Linked DNA regions of Drosophila melanogaster. Each later gene encodes a partner of the first gene's protein in a complex. Each region holds a gene or a part of one and is shown on either strand. Other genes may lie near its edges. A codon is read from its position in the direction of its gene.

Region 1 (8,126 bases):
CTGCCCCTGCTCACCATCAATATCCTGTGCGCTATTCTGCCCGTAATCTTTGCTATCATACACTTCTTCATGCCGGAGTCACCCGTCTACCTGGCCATGAAGGGACGCAACGATGATGCCGCCAAGGCCTTGCAGTGGCTGCGCGGCAAGGATGCCGATATCGATGACGAGCTCAAGGAGATCCTGGAGGAGTCCCAGAAGCAGATTGATATGCCACAGGTTAGTTAACATTCCACTAATAATCAATCAATCAATCAAAATCGATCGATATTGAAGGCATAAAGAAACTTTATAAAGGGTTCGCAGGGCTTTAACAGATTTATTACTCTTTCCATTATCACACAATCGGAAGTGATACATACATATACTTACCCTGATAAAAGAAATGTTGTAAATTCAGATAGTATATAATATTTTGTTTTCATTCATTAAGATTTTCAATAACTTGAACCAAGATAGGGTTTGCATTAAACTTAAACGATTTCGTAGTTAAACTACATATGAACACAGGTACGTAATTTGTTTCCATTATTCCATTTAGTAATCAGTGTAGCAGATACTACTTATCATACCTAATAAATACATTGATTTTGGTGAAGATTAGAAAATAATACGTGGTCTTATTTTTATTGCAGGTCAACATTCTGTCCTCCCTTCGTCGACCCATCGTCCTGAAGGGTCTTGGAATCGCTGTGCTCCTGCAGGTCTTCCAGCAGTGGACGGGAATCAACGCCGTTCTCTTCTACTCCGCCTCCATTTTCGAGGATACGGGCTCTGACATAAGTGGCAGCGATGCCACGCTTATCATTGGAGTCACCCAAGTGACCAGCACGCTGGTTGCCGTGGCCATTATCGACAAGGCTGGCCGTCGCATCCTGCTCCTTATCTCTGGCGTTCTGATGGCCGTGTCCACTGCACTGATGGGCGTGTACTTTCAGCTAAAGGAGAACGATCCGGCTTCAATGGACAATTTCGGTTGGTTGCCGATCAGCAGTATCTGCATTTTCATAATCTTCTTCTCGATTGGATTCGGACCGGTGCCGTGGCTGGTGATGGCGGAACTCTTCTCGGAGGATGTGAAGAGTGTGGCAGGATCGATTGCCGGCACCAGCAACTGGCTGTCGGCCTTCGTGGTCACGCTGCTCTTCCCAATCCTCAAGAGCTCGATCGGGCCGGGTCCGACCTTTTGGATCTTTACCGCGATCGCGGTCATCGCCTTCTTCTACTCTCTGTTCTTCGTGCCGGAGACCAAGGGCAAGACAATAATCGAAATCCAGGACCTGCTGTCCGGAGGAAAGGGTGTCAAAAGTGATGACAAGAGCCAGACGTGATGATGTCGCGTAGTCTTAGTCGTAGCGATACTTTTTCATATTCTCCTTAAGCCAATAAGAAAATGTTATGTATAAGAAGTGAAGAGCATAATCAATAAAGTAGAATCACCATGTATATAAACTACCCGATTGAATTTTCGTTCATTTCCGTCAGTGTAGTTCTAATTAGACTCAATTAGTATAATTCTAATTAGTTTGACAAGATTTTAAGTCTTGGAAAAAAATGAGGAAATAAGAAACTTTACTCGTATGGAGGAGGGCTGCAAACGAAGGTCTAAATGATCTAAGGATAGTATGGGTCAAAAAGTGATGTGATATATTCTTAACAATTGGTATTGATTAAGAATTCAAATAATAAATAATTCACGAACTTACACTACCGAAAATGCTTATTATTTTGTTGCAGATTTCGATAAAAATGGAAACGTTTATTATTTCCGGAAGGTATATTATTGGCAGCGAGCATTTCAAAACAAATTTATTTATGTTGCGGTTTGTGGTAATAATTTAAGTTCAAAGAACCGCACTGCGTAGTGTGACCAGTCCGTTTTGAAACACAATTCTTAATACGTTTGACACAAGGCATCTTATAAGAGCCGCTGGCCACTCTGTCACCGGCTTCTTTGTTCTTTAATCGTAAATTATTTGACTTCAAATTGTAATATCAAAATATCCCGAAGACTCTGTAACCAAGAGCGAAGATATGGAAGATGTGGAAATCAAGGTAAAATGAATTGGCTTGCGCTCTCGCTTATTGCAAAATAATTAACAAAATCCTTTCCAGCCTCGCGGCTATCAACTTCGCCTGGTTGACCACCTAACGAAGAGCAATGGCATTGTCTACCTGCCCACAGGATCTGGGAAAACGTTCGTGGCCATCCTGGTCCTAAAGCGCTTCTCGCAGGACTTTGACAAGTTAGTAGCGAATGGATATACATATATATATTATTATATGTATTACCTATATCCGATACTTACATTTATATATATATTATTATATGTAATACCTATATCGGATTCCGATTTGTTTACACAGACCCATCGAAAGCGGCGGAAAGCGTGCGTTGTTCATGTGCAATACTGTGGAATTGGCCCGACAACAGGCGATGGCCGTCAGGCGGTGCACCAACTTTAAGGTTGGCTTTTATGTGGGTGAACAGGGAGTGGATGACTGGACGCGCGGAATGTGGAGTGATGAAATCAAAAAAAACCAAGTGAGTATAGGATGGCGGAGGCATTTTTTATATACGCATATGATCACGTACGGACTAAACACTACACTACCACTACACACTGCAATTGCGATCACCACTTGAGTCGAAAAATTTGGGATCAGCATTTTTATGGGCTCGTAAGGGGTCGTGTTTTGCTAAGCCATCACAAAATCATCATTTCGTCAATTGATGTATTTTATTTGTTTTTTTTTTTTTTTGTAGTATGTTTATTTGTTTATTTATTTATTTTATTTGTTTATTTAAAATTAACTTGAGTTTGTGGATTGTTCTGGATCATCGAGTAGTAGATTTGATGGTCATTTTTATTACATTGAATTCATGTTAGACTTTTCAGTGTAATTCGAGGAATATTTATAGTTAATAATAATACACTGCTTCCAGAATTAAACCTACATGTGTAATTTTTGGTTCTTAACAGGTTCTTGTTGGCACAGCCCAGGTCTTTTTGGACATGGTCACCCAGACGTACGTGGCTTTAAGCTCCCTGAGCGTTGTCATCATAGACGAGTGCCACCACGGCACTGGTCACCACCCATTTCGTGAGTTCATGCGATTGTTCACTATCGCTAATCAAACAAAATTGCCGCGCGTGGTGGGTCTCACCGGGGTGTTAATCAAGGGAAATGAAATTACGAACGTGGCCACGAAACTTAAAGAGCTAGAGATCACATATCGGGGAAACATCATTACCGTGTCCGACACCAAGGAGATGGAAAACGTGATGCTGTAAGAGCGGGTGGCATTTTAGCTACAGTTTCCCAACAAGTGCATATTCTTTTCAGGTACGCCACCAAGCCCACAGAGGTCATGGTGTCCTTTCCACATCAAGAGCAAGTGCTCACGGTTACAAGGTTAATAAGCGCAGAAATTGAAAAGTTCTATGTATCCTTAGACCTCATGAATATTGGCGTTCAACCGATCCGAAGGTCAAAGTCATTGCAATGCCTGCGGGATCCGTCGAAGAAGAGCTTTGTAAAGCAACTGTTCAACGATTTTCTGTACCAGATGAAAGAGTATGGCATCTACGCAGCTTCCATAGCCATAATCTCGTTAATTGTTGAGTTCGATATAAAGAGGCGCCAGGCCGAGACGCTAAGCGTGAAATTGATGCATAGGACGGCCTTGACCTTGTGCGAGAAAATCCGTCACTTGCTGGTGCAAAAACTGCAAGACATGACTTATGACGACGACGATGACAACGTAAACACTGAGGAAGTCATTATGAACTTCTCCACCCCGAAAGTGCAGCGATTCCTGATGAGTCTTAAGGTATCCTTCGCTGATAAAGATCCCAAAGATATCTGCTGTCTGGTCTTTGTTGAACGCCGCTACACCTGCAAGTGCATCTATGGCTTGCTGCTCAACTACATCCAGTCTACGCCTGAGCTGCGAAACGTGCTCACGCCCCAATTCATGGTGGGCCGCAACAATATTTCTCCAGACTTTGAGAGCGTCTTGGAGAGAAAATGGCAAAAATCTGTAGGTGTGGAAATTATCGTTAATTGCTGATATTTTTCAAAATATGCTCTTACCGTCTCGCAGGCCATTCAGCAGTTTCGGGACGGTAATGCCAATCTTATGATATGTTCAAGCGTCCTAGAAGAAGGCATCGATGTGCAGGCCTGCAATCATGTCTTTATTCTTGATCCTGTTAAAACCTTTAACATGTACGTGCAGTCAAAGGGTCGGGCTCGTACCACTGAGGCCAAATTCGTGCTGTTCACAGCTGATAAGGAAAGGGAAAAGACAATTCAGCAAATTTATCAGTATCGAAAAGCGCATAATGACATTGCCGAATATTTAAAGGATCGAGTTCTAGAAAAAACTGAGCCAGAATTGTACGAAATCAAAGGGCACTTCCAGGACGATATTGACCCTTTTACCAATGAGAACGGTGCCGTGTTGCTTCCCAACAATGCCCTGGCCATACTGCATCGCTATTGCCAGACAATTCCCACGGATGCTTTTGGCTTTGTGATCCCCTGGTTCCATGTATTGCAAGAAGACGAACGTGATAGAATATTTGGTGTTTCTGCCAAGGGCAAGCACGTAATTTCAATCAACATGCCAGTAAATTGCATGCTAAGAGACACAATTTACGTAAGCTAGAGATTCAGATTGAAAATGGCAAAATCAAATAGAGTTAATTGCTTTCATTTCTTTCAGAGCGATCCCATGGACAATGTTAAAACAGCCAAAATATCAGCTGCCTTCAAAGCGTGTAAAGTACTCTACAGTTTGGGAGAGTTAAACGAGAGATTCGTGCCCAAAACATTAAAGGAGCGCGTAGCCTCTATTGCTGATGTTCATTTTGAGCACTGGAATAAGTATGGCGATAGTGGTGGGTTCACAAGAACTCGCATAAGATATGTTTACTTATATTAATCTTTCAACCATAGTGACTGCGACAGTCAACAAGGCCGATAAGAGCAAGGACAGAACCTACAAGACCGAATGTCCATTAGAGTTTTACGACGCACTTCCGCGGGTAGGTGAAATCTGTTATGCCTACGAAATATTTTTGGAGCCGCAGTTTGAATCGTGTGAGTACACGGAACACATGTATTTAAATCTCCAAACACCAAGAAATTATGCTATATTGCTGCGGAACAAGCTGCCACGCCTTGCAGAGATGCCCCTGTTTAGCAATCAGGGTAAGCTACACGTTCGAGTGGCCAATGCACCACTTGAAGTAATTATCCAGAACTCCGAACAGCTGGAGCTGCTCCATCAGTTTCACGGAATGGTATTCCGCGATATCTTGAAGATTTGGCATCCGTTCTTTGTGCTGGATCGTCGCAGCAAGGAGAACTCCTACCTGGTAGTTCCTCTCATACTGGGTGCGGGTGAACAGAAATGCTTTGACTGGGAACTGATGACCAACTTCCGAAGACTACCGCAAAGTCATGGGTCAAATGTACAGCAACGCGAGCAACAACCTGCTCCACGTCCTGAAGATTTTGAGGGCAAAATTGTTACACAATGGTATGCCAACTATGATAAGCCCATGCTGGTCACAAAGGTGCACCGTGAGCTAACACCGTTAAGTTATATGGAAAAGAACCAACAGGACAAGACCTACTACGAGTTTACCATGTCAAAGTACGGCAACCGCATTGGTGATGTTGTTCACAAGGATAAGTTTATGATCGAGGTCAGAGACCTTACGGAACAGCTCACTTTCTACGTTCATAATCGTGGAAAGTTCAACGCGAAGAGCAAGGCTAAGATGAAAGTTATTTTGATTCCGGAGCTATGCTTCAATTTTAACTTTCCTGGGGATTTATGGCTTAAGTTGATCTTCCTACCCAGCATTTTAAACCGCATGTACTTCCTTCTCCACGCAGAGGCCTTACGTAAGCGATTTAATACGTATTTAAACCTCCATCTGCTGCCTTTTAATGGAACTGATTACATGCCCAGACCACTAGAAATTGATTATTCGCTAAAGCGGAATGTCGACCCCTTGGGCAATGTCATACCAACTGAGGATATCGAGGAGCCGAAATCCCTTTTAGAGCCAATGCCCACAAAGTCCATTGAGGCGTCCGTGGCCAATCTTGAAATAACAGAATTCGAAAATCCCTGGCAAAAGTATATGGAGCCGGTTGATCTGTCGCGAAATCTTTTGAGTACGTATCCCGTAGAGCTGGACTACTACTATCATTTTAGCGTTGGTAATGTATGTGAGATGAATGAGATGGATTTTGAAGATAAGGAATACTGGGCAAAAAATCAGTTCCATATGCCCACGGGTAATATCTATGGCAACAGAACTCCGGCCAAGACTAACGCAAACGTGCCAGCTTTGATGCCGTCGAAACCGACTGTCCGCGGGAAGGTAAAACCACTGCTCATTTTGCAAAAAACTGTTTCCAAAGAACATATAACGCCAGCGGAGCAGGGCGAGTTTTTGGCTGCAATCACTGCCTCGAGCGCAGCGGATGTTTTCGACATGGAACGCCTTGAGATTCTGGGCGATTCCTTCTTAAAACTTAGTGCCACGCTCTACTTGGCCAGCAAGTATTCGGATTGGAATGAGGGCACTCTTACAGAGGTCAAATCCAAGCTTGTGTCTAATCGTAACCTGTTGTTCTGCCTCATCGACGCGGACATTCCCAAAACGCTCAACACCATTCAGTTTACGCCTAGATACACATGGCTTCCACCTGGCATCAGTTTGCCCCACAATGTTCTAGCCTTGTGGCGAGAAAATCCGGAATTCGCAAAGATTATTGGCCCACACAATCTCCGTGACTTGGCTCTCGGCGATGAGGAGTCCCTGGTGAAGGGCAACTGCAGCGATATCAACTACAACCGCTTCGTGGAGGGATGTCGAGCAAATGGGCAGTCCTTTTATGCCGGTGCCGATTTTTCATCCGAGGTGAACTTCTGCGTGGGACTGGTCACGATTCCCAACAAGGTGATAGCCGATACCCTTGAGGCGCTATTGGGCGTAATCGTTAAGAACTACGGATTGCAGCATGCCTTCAAGATGCTAGAGTACTTCAAGATTTGCCGTGCGGATATTGACAAGCCGCTTACTCAGTTACTGAACCTCGAACTGGGCGGCAAGAAAATGCGGGCGAACGTGAATACTACAGAAATTGACGGCTTTCTCATAAATCACTATTATTTGGAAAAAAATCTTGGCTACACGTTTAAGGATCGACGATATTTGTTGCAGGCCCTCACCCATCCCTCGTATCCCACTAATCGCATCACTGGGTCCTATCAGGAGCTGGAATTTATTGGCGATGCCATACTCGACTTTCTAATCTCTGCCTATATTTTCGAGAACAATACGAAAATGAATCCGGGCGCCCTCACAGATCTGCGTTCCGCTTTGGTCAACAATACTACGCTGGCCTGCATTTGCGTGCGGCATCGGTTGCACTTTTTTATCCTAGCGGAGAACGCAAAGCTCTCCGAGATCATATCCAAATTCGTGAATTTCCAGGAGAGCCAGGGTCACCGGGTTACCAACTATGTGCGCATTCTGCTCGAGGAAGCTGATGTTCAGCCGACTCCGCTGGACTTGGATGACGAATTGGATATGACTGAGTTACCGCATGCAAATAAATGCATTTCTCAGGAAGCAGAGAAAGGAGTCCCACCAAAAGGTGAGTTCAACATGTCCACAAACGTGGATGTGCCAAAGGCGTTGGGGGATGTTCTGGAGGCCCTTATTGCAGCCGTATACCTGGACTGCCGAGATCTCCAACGTACTTGGGAGGTAATTTTCAATCTCTTCGAGCCGGAGCTTCAGGAGTTCACGCGCAAAGTGCCCATCAATCATATACGACAGCTCGTTGAGCACAAGCATGCGAAGCCCGTGTTTAGCTCGCCCATCGTCGAAGGGGAAACTGTAATGGTTAGTTGTCAATTTACCTGCATGGAAAAGACGATCAAGGTGTACGGATTTGGGAGCAATAAGGACCAGGCCAAGCTATCGGCTGCCAAGCACGCCCTTCAGCAGCTAAGCAAATGCGACGCCTAATATGATGATTCCAGCCCAGTCTAGTTTCTGCTAAACTGCATTGAATTTGCTTTCTAGCCA
Region 2 (4,316 bases), on another chromosome or scaffold:
CATCCTTCTGCGGAACAGTGGGGGCTTTGGCAGCCGGCCTTATCACTTGCTTGCTGGCACACACCAAGTGAAATATGTGGTGCTGTTGGTAGACATCCTTGTAGCTGCGTATCACCTCAGATATCTTTTGGGAGTCATCTAATAGCTTGCCCGAGTAAATAAGTTTCTGGTCCTGGATTAACTACAGAAAAAATGGAAAGAAATAGTTATAGTGGTCAAAACATAAAACATAAAATTTCACATTATAGGTATTCAGAGGGAACCTAGAGATAACTCATTGTTGCTTTTACCTCCGCGCGAAATTTATACTATCAAACAGTGCCTAAATCTATTTATTTGCACACTCCAAGAGATAACAACTTGTACTTGTCAGTTGACTTTATGGAAATGATACTTGAAACTAAATAAATTTTTATAAATTCTACTTGATTTGCTCTGGAAATAAAGAGTGCTAATGTATTTTTTCTGCCTGCAATGATCTGAATCTTTAGTATATATCAGTGATATTGATATGTGGGATGTACATATGTACATAAAAAACTTGGCACATGAGTGGAGCGTGAATATGTCCAAAAATCTTATCACTTTCTAACCGTAACCAAATTAATCCCAGTTCCCAGTTCCGACCCATCGATTTGGCATAGACCAAGTGCATGACGCAAGTGCATGACGGCGACTATAATTTAGAGGAGCAATCCACTGACGTGTACTTGCGACTAAGACGCAAATAGCTTTGGGAACCGACACACCTATGAATCCTAAACGAAGATGATAAACAATAACAAACTTCTCGATAAGATAATGGGGCTCCTGGCCAGTTTTCTACCTATACGATAACAAGGGGGGGAACCAACTCGATAACCCACCGGTTTGCCAGGATAGATAAGAGATAGGTGCTTCTTCAGCCTCTGGACCGTCCAGCAGAGATCGGAGTCCACATTGAGATCCTCATACTGCTGGTTGGACGACTTGATGAGCAGCCGGACACTGGTTTCCGGATTCTTTTGACGGGTGGCGGCATCGCAGCCCGCGGCTGTTGCGGCTGCGGGTGGGGCGGCGTTCTCCTCCATCTGGCTGACCCCGCGAATCGGAGAACTTTCTATTGCTAATTAATGACCGCGATACGAAGATCGGTGATGGGTTTTTGCTGCGCTAGCGGGGACACTTTTTACGCAGCCACTGTTTCTCACTTCCTACTCCGCTCTGCTCTCTGCGTATTTTCGAGAAATAGTTTATTCTGAATTTGACATTTAATTTGGTATTATGCTATTGTTTGGTTTTCAACAGCTGTTCGTTCTGTGGTGTTTTGCTCGCAGCACAGAGTTATTGATTATGAAACGCAGTAAACGTTCCGCAGTTGATCAAAAACTACTCTTCATTTGGTTCTGACCTGTGGCAAGTGATGAGCGTCGGTCACAGGGCTGCCGCGAGTAGCAGGTATTTTTAAGTCGCAGGTTGCACAAACAGCTGAGAATTGATTTTCCAAAGTGTGTGGGATGTGGCAATTTAAGTACACAGTTGGAAAATATTAAAGTCGTTGCTCAAACACTTGGTTTTAGTGTTTTTAGAATTTATTCCTTTGAAAAATATACGGTATCTAGTTATTTGCAGTTGTGGATTTTGCTCATCACTGACAGCAACACTTGTTAATGCCATATACTACGCAACAGGGTTGCCTTGACTTACGGGGATGCCAACTCGCGTCATCGTGACGTGTCGATTATGTATAACACTTCAGACGTTGAACTTTGAATGAAAACACCGAATAGCATATAAAATGCATTTGCTCCTTAGTAAAAAAGTTAAGAAGGTTTGCCGCTGTTTTCGTATTCGAATTACGAATTCAATACTATTTCGTGAAAATATTTTTTTGACAAAGCGGCATAAAATAATTCATTTACAGATGTCTTCGTCAAGATTTCCTATTCTATCGTTGCCGCTTCGTGATTCGCGTGCCATCTCTAATAACATTGCAGTGCTTTAGATATTTTATAAATTATATATATGGTTATATTCTGTTGAATGTTAGCACGTCCGACGTGCCTTTTCCCCTTGAACTCATGGATAACAAGTCAGCCGTATCTGCTCTACAGGAGTTTTGTGCCCGGACACAGATTAATCTACCAACATACAGTTTTATTCCCGGCGAAGACGGAGGGTACGTCTGTAAAGTTGAACTATTGGAGATAGAGGCCCTTGGAAATGGTAAATTTAAATTACAAATCTCAACCACTATTTATATTCGTATCTAAACCGCCACATATTTATCCAATTCTAGGGCGTTCGAAGCGTGATGCCAAACACCTGGCTGCCAGCAATATCTTGCGTAAAATCCAACTGCTGCCCGGCATACACGGCTTGATGAAGGATTCGACTGTGGGTGATCTGGATGAGGAACTGACTAACCTCAACCGGGACATGGTGAAGGAGCTGCGTGACTACTGCGTCCGCCGCGAGATGCCACTGCCCTGCATTGAGGTAGTGCAGCAAAGCGGCACCCCGAGCGCCCCGGAATTCGTGGCCTGTTGCTCCGTGGCCTCCATAGTACGCTACGGAAAGTCGGACAAAAAGAAGGATGCCCGTCAGCGAGCGGCCATTGAAATGCTGGCCTTAATCTCCAGCAATTCGGACAATTTGCGTCCGGATCAAATGCAAGTAGCGAGCACAAGCAAATTGAAAGTTGTTGATATGGAAGAATCTATGGAGGAATTGGAGGCATTGCGCAGAAAGAAATTTACCACCTACTGGGAGTTGAAGGAAGCCGGGAGCGTAGACCATACAGGCATGCGGCTCTGCGACCGACACAACTACTTCAAGAACTTCTATCCTACCCTGAAAAAGGAGGCCATTGAGGCCATCAATTCAGATGAATACGAGAGCTCCAAGGATAAGGCTATGGACGTAATGAGCTCTTTAAAGATAACACCCAAAATCAGTGAAGTGGAATCTTCATCGTTGGTTCCCTTGCTTAGCGTCGAGCTTAATTGTGCATTCGACGTGGTCCTTATGGCAAAGGAGACCGATATCTACGACCATATAATAGACTATTTTCGCACCATGTTGATTTAATGCGTATAACATTTATTCAACTATTCTAGCTTAAAACTAAGTAAACTCGTTTTATTTACACTCTAGAATGCACATATTTCATTTAATCTTACGATTAATACAATCTCCACCAATTTGTAGGTGGGAAACATAAAAAAATTATTTTCAAGGTCTTTTAGTAAACATCTATGTTAACTTTGTACACGATTGAGATAGGTGTAAAAAATCCAAGGAAATAAGTAAGGGGAGTGGGTACAACAACTTTTACTTTCGAGAAGGTATAACATAATGATATTATTAATTACTTTTCGATGCCAATACCAATGTTAATTCTATTAAAATGTAAAGTATTTATACGGTCCGAACTTATTGTTTGCAACAACTGATTATAAAATATTTGAAGCAATTTACATAAATATGTATTGCACAGTGAAATTAAAAATCTGAACATTTGCCTTTAAAAGGAATGCTAGTAATCAAAGACTTACTTGAAACAAATATTTTAAATAATTTGACGGAAAAAAATGGTAAAAATGCTGCATTTCTTTTTTTTTTTACAAGTACAACTTTTATACGAATAAAAGGGGTTTCAGTCTAAAATAAATAAAGTGCTTCGTAGTCTTCAGCATTTTTGATTTTATTTTTACAACACAATGCTAAAATGAAAACTAAGCGTTCCTCTTAAAAACTTTCAACAATGTATTAACAATTTCAATGTCAATTGCTTGCCTTTTAATGGGTTATCTTATATTAGTACAATATGTTAAATAACAAATCCATAACAATTTGAAATGTTTTCCTAAAAAAAAATGTAAGTGTATAAATGAGATTGTTATTGCAAATAATTTCCTAATCAATCACCAAATTTGATTGCATTGGAATATCTAAAAAATCATTGCATTCGCCACATCAATCTCATCATCTCATCGGGAAACGTTCAATTTACTAGTCAAAATAATATTTACACAACTAAAGGAAACAATATATGATTAGTGTTCAATAGCTAATCTTCTTGCGCAGCTTGAGATTGGATTGTTGATGGTCCAGAGACTGTTGTTGTTGTTGTTGCTGTCGCTCCCGATCCCGATCCTTTTCGCTGGACGCACGACTCACACCGCGTACCAGGTGCTGTTGCCACTGGCTGGAGGAGGGCGGCGCCGTGGGTGTGGGAATACCCGAATTTGAGGCGGACGTCGATGCTGAGGAGCCGGACTCACCGAAAAGGCGCCGGGAAAGCTTGAAGCTGCCGCTGTTGCTGCTGCTGCAGC

The links.
Region 2: the proteins of Dcr-2 (region 1) and r2d2 are in contact, whole or in part, in a cryo-EM structure (PDB 7V6B), measured with the Drosophila melanogaster proteins. Residues at the interface, in NP_523778.2 of Drosophila melanogaster: Lys244 (codon at 3,440), Ser248 (codon at 3,452), Leu251 (codon at 3,461), Met252 (codon at 3,464), Asn253 (codon at 3,467), Ile301 (codon at 3,611), Val305 (codon at 3,623), Arg311 (codon at 3,641), Leu321 (codon at 3,671), Arg324 (codon at 3,680), Thr325 (codon at 3,683), Thr328 (codon at 3,692), Glu331 (codon at 3,701), Lys332 (codon at 3,704), Arg334 (codon at 3,710), His335 (codon at 3,713), Leu336 (codon at 3,716), Val338 (codon at 3,722), Tyr1089 (codon at 6,162), Met1090 (codon at 6,165), Val1093 (codon at 6,174), Leu1100 (codon at 6,195), Ser1101 (codon at 6,198), Thr1102 (codon at 6,201), Tyr1103 (codon at 6,204), Pro1104 (codon at 6,207), Val1105 (codon at 6,210), Glu1106 (codon at 6,213), Leu1107 (codon at 6,216), Asp1108 (codon at 6,219); in NP_001162903.1 of Drosophila melanogaster: Met109, Pro110, Val117, Gln118, Gln119, Ser120, Glu127, Val129, Ala135, Ser136, Ile137, Val138, Arg139, Tyr140, Leu160, Asn164, Gly217, Met218, Arg219, Leu220, Cys221, Arg223, His224, Asn225, Lys228, Val270, Glu271, Ser272, Ser273, Leu278.

Annotation. Positions count from the first base shown.
Region 1 is NT_033778.4:17,575,335-17,583,460, reverse strand, and holds the start of Dcr-2 (Dicer-2), read left to right. Parts: upstream 1-1,935; 5' UTR 1,936-2,034; coding exon 2,035-2,055; intron 2,056-2,115; coding exon 2,116-2,246; intron 2,247-2,367; coding exon 2,368-2,545; intron 2,546-2,984; coding exon 2,985-3,292; intron 3,293-3,348; coding exon 3,349-4,045; intron 4,046-4,108; coding exon 4,109-4,666; intron 4,667-4,732; coding exon 4,733-4,907; intron 4,908-4,965; coding exon 4,966-8,066; 3' UTR 8,067-8,126. Other genes in the region: CG6484 (uncharacterized protein), read left to right, coding at 1-219, 636-1,331.
Region 2 is NT_033779.5:7,798,443-7,802,758, forward strand, and holds r2d2 (r2d2), read left to right. Parts: upstream 1-1,704; 5' UTR 1,705-1,810; exon of another isoform or gene 1,811-1,903; 5' UTR 1,904-2,060; coding exon 2,061-2,205; intron 2,206-2,278; coding exon 2,279-3,069; 3' UTR 3,070-3,656; downstream 3,657-4,316. Other genes in the region: Herp (Homocysteine-induced endoplasmic reticulum protein), read right to left, coding at 1-181, 867-1,070; Cdc14 (cell division cycle 14), read right to left, coding at 4,045-4,316.